Linked DNA regions of Bombyx mori. The protein of the gene in region 1 binds, or shares a complex with, the protein of each later gene. Links are inferred from orthologs where the notes say so. Each region holds a gene or a part of one and is shown on either strand. Other genes may lie near its edges.

What was found. Proteins that work in one complex are often made in the same cells at the same time.
Region 2: the proteins of translation initiation factor eIF-2B subunit epsilon (region 1) and eIF2B-gamma protein are in contact, whole or in part, in a cryo-EM structure (PDB 7VLK), measured with the Homo sapiens proteins. The link is inferred for Bombyx mori from reciprocal best matches to the Homo sapiens genes EIF2B5 and EIF2B3. Residues at the interface, in NP_003898.2 of Homo sapiens: Pro190, Val202, Arg222, Arg223, Phe224, Ala225, Phe226, Pro227, Leu228, Phe231, Gln232, Ser234, Ser235, Asp236, Gly237, Val238, Glu239, Val240, Arg241, Tyr242, Asp243; in NP_065098.1 of Homo sapiens: Arg155, Phe157, Glu178, Glu179, Leu180, Val181, Ile182, Lys183, Gly184, Leu187, Gln188, Pro191, Arg192, Ile193, Arg194, Phe195, His196, Thr197, Gly198.

Annotation. Positions count from the first base shown.
Region 1 is NC_085119.1:8,981,062-8,985,042, forward strand, and holds the start of translation initiation factor eIF-2B subunit epsilon, read right to left. Parts: upstream 2,801-3,981; 5' UTR 2,653-2,800; intron 1,948-2,652; 5' UTR 1,683-1,947; intron 971-1,682; exon of another isoform or gene 894-970; 5' UTR 878-893; coding exon 779-877; intron 709-778; coding exon 584-708; intron 1-583. UniProt on the Homo sapiens protein: Acts as a component of the translation initiation factor 2B (eIF2B) complex, which catalyzes the exchange of GDP for GTP on eukaryotic initiation factor 2 (eIF2) gamma subunit.
Region 2 is NC_085128.1:7,848,552-7,852,808, reverse strand, and holds the start of eIF2B-gamma protein, read right to left. Parts: upstream 2,801-4,257; 5' UTR 2,654-2,800; exon of another isoform or gene 2,583-2,653; 5' UTR 2,577-2,582; coding exon 2,417-2,576; intron 1,945-2,416; coding exon of another isoform or gene 1,918-1,944; coding exon 1,091-1,917; intron 358-1,090; coding exon 128-357; intron 1-127. UniProt on the Homo sapiens protein: Acts as a component of the translation initiation factor 2B (eIF2B) complex, which catalyzes the exchange of GDP for GTP on the eukaryotic initiation factor 2 (eIF2) complex gamma subunit.

The sequences.
Region 1 (3,981 bases):
ACTCCACATTCAGCAAGCCCTTTTTTTTTAAAACACTTCAGATATTAGCTTCATATCTGCAATCCTGAATTATATGTAACATATAACATAATATGTAGTATATATGTTATTACATATAATACAGGAACACCACTGCCAGATTGAATATACACTACATAAAATGGATTGACAGTCAATGTATGTAATAATGATGCTTAATTTTTAAGCAAAAATGTAGTCATACACAGGATGAAACACCCTGTGTACTCTTACCAAAAGATTCACTTTGCCAATGTTCAAATCAGACAGACAAGTACCAATGTTACTATAGAAATATGTCTAAACACATGTTTACGAATAACTACGACAATGACAGAATAACATCTTGTAAAAAAATGAAACCACCAAAGATGTATAAATTTGCCTGTGTTAAAGCATACTGTAAGCCCAAATGGGATAATGGTACACAAAACTCTCGCTTCTATCTTTATGTGACGAGATTAAATTGTACATAACTGGAACTTCGTCCTCATAACTCAATACGGGCGGCATCATTGACATTATGAGTTCTTTTAATTATCTAGTACTATTAAAAAAAACTTACTGTACATGTTCTTTTATTTTTTGTCCATTTTGACAACAAAACAGAATTGCCTCTCCCACTCCGCCCAAAGCAAGAGATTCTAGAACATAATCTATTAGAGGCACGCCTGCAACTTCAAGAAAACCCTGTAATATGTCCCATTCAGTTATTATTTTGGTTTCAGATAAATATACAAATTTCAAACAGGTTACATACCATTGGTTTATTGTCTGTTAATGGAGAAAAATTACTGTTAAAAGTGTCCATAATAACAACAGCTTGTACGATATTTTCTTTATCCATTTCCATTTTCATCAATTCCTAGTTCCTACTTTTTAGAAAATAGAAAATAGGTTATTGCTACATAGAAAGTTAGTAATAGTAGTTTTATTTTTTCAAATAGAAAGGCAAATGTATCATACCATACAGCCTTATCTATTATATTATATTTTTTTTATGAAATATGATATTATGAAATGAAAAGAAAATGATTAATTTGAGACATTAATCAACTAGGATGAAATTAAATGAAATGATATGGGATGAATTAATCTCAGTAAAATGGTGGTAATTTACTGAGATTTTTTCAGTGGACTGTTTGAAGGATCCCGAGAAGTTAAGTCCAGCGGCTTTGTTTCATTTTTGCACATTTGTACACTTTCATAGATATTAAACAGTCAATAAACCAACGTTATTACACATTTAAACCTGAAGAAATATTATATAGACATAATAAAACAAATCATTTTATTATTTTTAATAGGCAATTATAATAATTAGGTACTTACTGAGTAATAAAGTACGTATTGCATACGTAAAATGCGTACGTATGGATATGAAAAATTTTGGATGGATGATTAACTTTGGAACATATGATATTGGATTTGTCTTGGAATGCACGGCTTTCTTTAAAATTATTTATAGCTTGTAAACATATCTTTTTTTTCCATACCTATTCGCTGATAATTTAAATGGCTATTCCAGCTTAAACAAATCTCCATTTACTAAACAATATATGCATGTAATCTAGAAAGTACTAGAAAATGAATTTAATCGGAAACGAATCAATGTGATATGAGATGAATTAAATAGTATCCGTGTAAAACGAAAGCTTACTGACACTTTATTTTTGAACTTTTTTACATTGAGCCCAAGAATGAGCATTTTCATAAATGCTGCTCACAAAAGTTCGCTATCTACTTTATTCATTAGCTATAATAGAATTTGTAGCATTGAAAAGGCATTATGATTAATAAGCTAGGGCAATATCGTTCCCGCTTGTGAACTTGTTCCCCAAAATCATTCTGTAGGACCTTTAGTTCTGTGTATTCAGTCCAATCGTACAGACAGTATAGAATTACAACTCGCCACGGGGAACTATTACGCTGAGAACAGAATTAAATAATTTTATTAAAACTGTGTTTTCCTCATAACTAATTCACTTAATAATTAAAGTTATCTCTCCGATCTGTATCGGAGACATAGCTAATATTCTACTATCGATATCTCAAACTCCCTTATTTTCTTAGAATGTGACGGGTGTAATTGCTCGGTATAGGGTCGAGGGTTATTTTAATGTTGGTTTATGTTGTTTGGAGCTTGTTTAAATTACAAAGTTATCTTGACATCATCGTTAGCGAGATTCAGGCATCTGTCAAATATCTTGTGATCCATGATTGCTACCGTCACATAATATATTTTTCTATTCTTATAGTAATTCACATAGCCAACCTTCCAAGACTACCTTCTAGGTATCACAGTTTTACAATCCATACAGTTAGGAAATGGAGACACTTGCGTCGATACACGCAAACAGTTTTTTGTTCCTACCTATGCTGATAGGCTATATCAGCGTTACCCTAGCGTGTAGGATAAAAAACGGTTTTTCTCGATTTCCGGCAAAACTAAAAGTCTTATGGAAAAAAGTCACAAAGTTGTAGGTAATAAAAAGATCTAAAACTTTTGTATTTACACTTTTTTCACATATCCTCAAAATTTATGTGAAAAATTCAAAAAACCAAGTTTTTGGTTTTTTATTTTTATCTTTTTAAAAAAAAAATCTTTTTTCACGAAATTTGGTGAAAACTTACCTTTTCATGTCCCAAATACGCTGTAATTTATTTCATTACAAATATGAATCTTTTCACCTTATTTTGAATTAATGTCGAAAAAGCACCCTAATTTTCAATCGAAAATTCACCCGTCAAAATATCAGCTATTTTCAAAAAGTTCGAAATCGCTACATACTTTCCGAAGGTGAAAAAAATCTATCTTACTATAGTAAATCTTCTCAGACAATGCAAAAAATCGAAAAAACTCGAATTCGATTTTTTTATTTTATTATTATATACAATTTATAATTTTAAAATTTACACTTTAATAACTCGAAAAACATAAGACTACATGTTACATTGATAAAAAAAAATTGCAAATCAAAATATACTACTATACCTAGTCAGGTCATAAATTCTGTCACATGTTTAATGTAAAATAATTGAAACAAGTTTATTCATTATGTAACCATTCATATACCAAAATGAACTTAACAAAACATAGATTCTTATGACACTAAAGTTTATTCAAAATGACCTCCGTGATTTTGAATACAGGCCTTCAATCTGCGCGGCCAGTCGTCTATCGCAGCACGAACGAGGTCCATGTCAATATCGGCGGCTACCTTAATCAAGGATGTCTTGTGAGTGCCTCCAAATTGGGATGAGGCTTTGAGCACGCCTTTTCCTCCAAGTGTTGCCATATCTTGTAATCTAACGGATTCAAATCTGGACTGGAGGAGGGCCAGTCTTCGTGCCGGATGAAGTCGATTTCACGCGCCGCCAGCCAGTCTTGTGTGCTCTTCGCTCTATGAGCTGGCGCCGAATCTTGTTGGAATACCCAGTGCCTGTTATTGAACATGGTATGAGAAACAGGTTCCACAAGGTTCGTCAGGACTGTATTTTGATACACAACTGCATTCGTTTTTACACCTTTCTCACAAAAATGTACCTCTGTTAAGCTCCAATAAGAAACTCCCAACCATACCATGAGCGAGGATGGAAAATGACCTCGCTGGACACGCGGAATACGGTTGCTCGCTTCTTCACTACTGTGTGCGTATACCTTATCATTTTGTTTGTTGTAGCTCTCTTCTACGCTAAAAATTTTTACATCCGAAAACGAATTTCCCAAATATTTTTTTCCCGCGTACCGCTTCAACAAAGCGCGGCATCTCTTCAGTCTCAGGTCCATTAGACGAGCATTCAAACGATGTCCTGTTTTTCTTCGATATGCCCGAAGCCCTAAGTCTTCATTTAACACCCTTTTCACCGTGGTTCTGCTTAACCCCATCTGAAGGGCCACCAGTTTCTGCTTACGTTTGGGATTTCTTTGAATTCGCGCCTTCACAGCTTTTATCACTGCTG
Region 2 (4,257 bases), on another chromosome or scaffold:
TACTTATCTTATTTTAAACATTTTATGTCAAGTAAAAAGTTGTTTTAATAACAATCTTTTAGTTATATTTGAATATATAAATACATATCTGTGATTATTTTTATTTAGTTCTATCATATATACATACCTTTCTTTGATGGTCACATTGTTCATGAGTATACAATTTGTTAGTCTGACTTTGTTTTCTATATTACAATTTGAGCCAATAAATGAATTTTTTACTGATGTTTTTTCATTAATAATAGTTTTCTCTCCAACAGTGCAATTATCATCAATCTGTTTTGTTTTCACCTCACTGTTAGGGTGAAATCTTTCAAACAGAGATGATCCAGTAAGATCTTGCCATTTTGATAATATCTGTTAAAAATGCCATTAAAATCACTTTATTTATGATTTCGTGAGTTATTTGGGGAAAAAAATAATATCTGGTGGCCTACCTAATAACAATCTATATAAAACTGTAAACTACATGTATGCAAGTGTTAACTTCTTTTTTTTATGTAAATGAAAAAATAAGGTTTTTTGGAGTTTACTCCTTTAGAATCGATTTACATATATATGAAAATGGGTATGAAAATTATGGGGACCAAAATCGTACTAGCATGTCACACGAAATGCGTTATGCGCCTGCGCCGGCAGTCCGCCACAAAGCCTCGTACTGATCGCGCGTTTCTCTCATTATTGTATTTTCATATATTTGTTAGTCGTTTGTTTTGTGTCTCGTTAATTTGTTAATAATCTGTAGTGTATCGTGTTGTCGTAATATAGAACTATTTCTCGTATTGTTTCGTTTAATTTTTTATATCCAGTAAACTCCAGTCGTGCGTCGGAGCGGACACACACACTTTTTGTTAATTGACATTATTTTTTGAAGTTTCTTGATGGATTGGACCAATTGGAAATTGCTAAAAAAAATCTGCCGTTCAAAAAACTACAACAATATGAGTTATTTAAATGTCAAATACAAATTCCTAAATTAATGGTGCAACCCCATTGAATCTTTATAAGTAATCCAATATTAAACAAGTTTTGTTCTAACTTATTTGGAGATTATTTGTTTTGTAATATTAAAGAGCAAATAAAAACATACCTTATTGTTGGATAGATAAAATGATGATAGTGTATTAACACGAATTGCAAATGTATTTTTACTAGGAATATGTGCATAACATCTAAGAGTATCATTAAAGTACACCCCTTTGTTACCATGCTTATGATCATTGTATGCTGATATTTCTCTTATCTTACGCTCATAACCTGTCTCTATTGCATAGTCAAAAATTCCTTTATTAATTTCTGCATTCTTTTCCGAGGTGCCCTTCTTTTCCACTAAGTTGTTAGGTTTCGTTAATTGCTTTTTAACAATGTAAGGAACAACCTCACCTTTAATCGAGGTAAATTTTTCGGAATCTACAATATAGTCTAAAATCCAGTGTTTCATTACATATACATGTGCATCCAATAATCTACTATATATGCTCAAAGCATCATATTTTTTCACAAGTAATCTTGGTATTGTCACATTCTCTTCAAAATCACTAGCACTTGCCAGAAAAACAAGTCTCTCAGTCTCTTTATCTATACAAACTAAGTCTCGATCAGGTTTGGATTTAGTTTTCGGTCCCGGTAATTCAATCCACTCTTCAGGACCATTATTGAAGAACAAGGTGGTGACACATGCATCATGTTTCCTGTGTAGGTTCAGTACATCATTGAGGTTTATGTTAGTAATGAGGTCTCCTGATATGACTAGTAAATCTGTATTGATTCTAGCACTAACATGCTTTAAGGAATTTGCTGTACCCCAGTCTTCTTCTGATGGAATTACAATTAACTCATATTTTATTTTCAAGGGACATTTTTCTAGTGCATTAAGAATGTTAGACTTATCTTCATCAAGTACCACAATCATTACATCTGAAAATATTAGATTATTAGTTAGTTTTAAAGAATTAGAGAAAAATAAAATTGTAAATGAGGGATGTTGCAGTTTGTTTACTAATGAGAAAATATTTAGGTTGAGTTTATACTAGGTTTGTTGAAATAAAGTATCTATATATAATAAATATCTATGCACTATAAGATATCAGTTTCTGCTCATCTTTGTAGGAAGATCTTGGCTGTGCTTGTATTGTTAATATCCACAAGCAACTAAGATTGTCATCACGCCATCATACTCTCGGAAGAAGTGTGTATAAAGAACTACAGTGACAATAAAAAAAAACCTCATTAGATCATCTTTGTGATCTTCCGTTTACAAAAAATGGCTTTTTCATACAGTGAATAAACTTTTTATTTTAGATAATCTAATAATGTATATTATAGAATTTTATTATTTATAGTACTATACTGTTTGAAACAAAAAATTTAAATTATTTACAATAGAAAATTTTGCAATGAAATTTGAGTTAGGTACCTTGAAATCCAATTTTTTCTAGCATATTTAATGGATACCATAGTACTGGGTACGGCCCAACAGGTAGGAGACATTTCGAAACTGATCCTCCGACATCTGGCATACGGGAACCTTTTCCAGCGGCCAACACGACAACTTGGAATTCTAAGATTTTATGCATTTTCTACTGCAAGTAAAGATGATGTTTTTGAAAAGCAAACAAACTGTAAATAGACGTCTGTTTTTAGGGATATTTACATGGTCTTTTTAAGCGTTCATTAATACATTGTCCCATTCAAGCAAACAACCCTAAATTCTGATTTTCTGTTTAATAAAATTGAATTTTGTCTTAATTTAGAAACACATTTAGGTTATACCATAGATTATTTTTTTTGGTACAATTTTTCCTTATTAGGAAAAGCAAGGGGATCTACGCCTATACTGCTTGTCTATAATATATAATTTCTGAAATAAATTTTCAAAAAAGTCGAAGCCAGGTCTTATATGATATATTATATCCTGAAATAAAATTTTCATTAAGGCCGAAGCCAAGTCTTATATATTTTCCAATCCTTGTAAAATGGCAAATTCGAGTTTTACTGTTAAATCCAAGTCCAAGACTTTTTTTAAACTTAGCTAAAATAAAATAAAAAAAGTAAACAAAATATCATAATGTTATGGACAGAGCTATAACTTCGTCAAATCCTTGTAATCCCATTTTTAGATATCTCCAACTGTTGAATCTATAAATTCACAAATTGGCTTAAAACTTTGTTGTTTTCTTATTAATAGCTGAAAAGTACGCGGGATATCCTCAGCATTTTCATATATACACAGCAGACGGTAAATAAACACTAATCTATCCAGTGAGAAAGCAGAACAACTAAAGAAAATGTGATCAAGCTGCTGGACGTAACTTCTCGGGATCCTCCAAAAATCTACTGAAAAAATCGCAGTAAATGAGTACCATTTTACTGAGATTATATTTCATCCCATATCATCTCATCCCATTTCATTTAATTTCATCCCAGTTGATTAATGTCTCAAATTAATCATCTTCATTTCATTTCATTTCACTCAATAATATCATTTTTCATAAAAATATAAGAATATAAATTAAAATAGGACTTGACCTAAAAGTCAGTTACCAGGTCATAAAAGCCCTTAAAAAATCGCTCAGTTTGTTTTTAATTTCGAAAATTCTGTAAGGTAATGGGAATTTATCGCCCTTAATGTACAATACATTTCGGGAAAGGTTGAGAAACCATATCCTACGATTATTTTTATCCACCTGTTCATTTTTATATACTCAACGATTAGAACAATATTTTTACATCGGAAAAACACTGGGTTAGACACACAATACCAGTACAATTCCAAACCACCTCATGCTCACGCCAAAAAGCGTTCGTTATTATGATTATAGCATTTGCTATGAATTTACTGTAGATTATGGAATAAATGTCTTTATTGTATCTTTAACATAGCTATAATATCCTATAATTTTTTCAAAAAGAAAAAGCTTTTCCAAGCATCTGTTTCGTAAAGATCTGCCAGTTTAGGCATTGTTAAATAAGTCTTAATTTCAGAAGTCTTGATTTAAATTTAATCTTTTAACACGAGGGTATGTAGTGAAATCATGGTCCAGGTGACCGGCCGGCTTGTGGTCAAGGCGTTACGGTTTGTCCTCGGAAGCTGGATAAATATTCGCGACGGGTGAATTGTCATGAAGAGTCATGTTGGGCGGCGCTTGACTTTTACGAGTGAACCATCTTATAGACTAGACATAGATGTGTGATGTTTTTCGCATGGATCCGTCGCTGCCAAGCCGGGGGCCGGAATAGGAATAACGCTTGAATCCT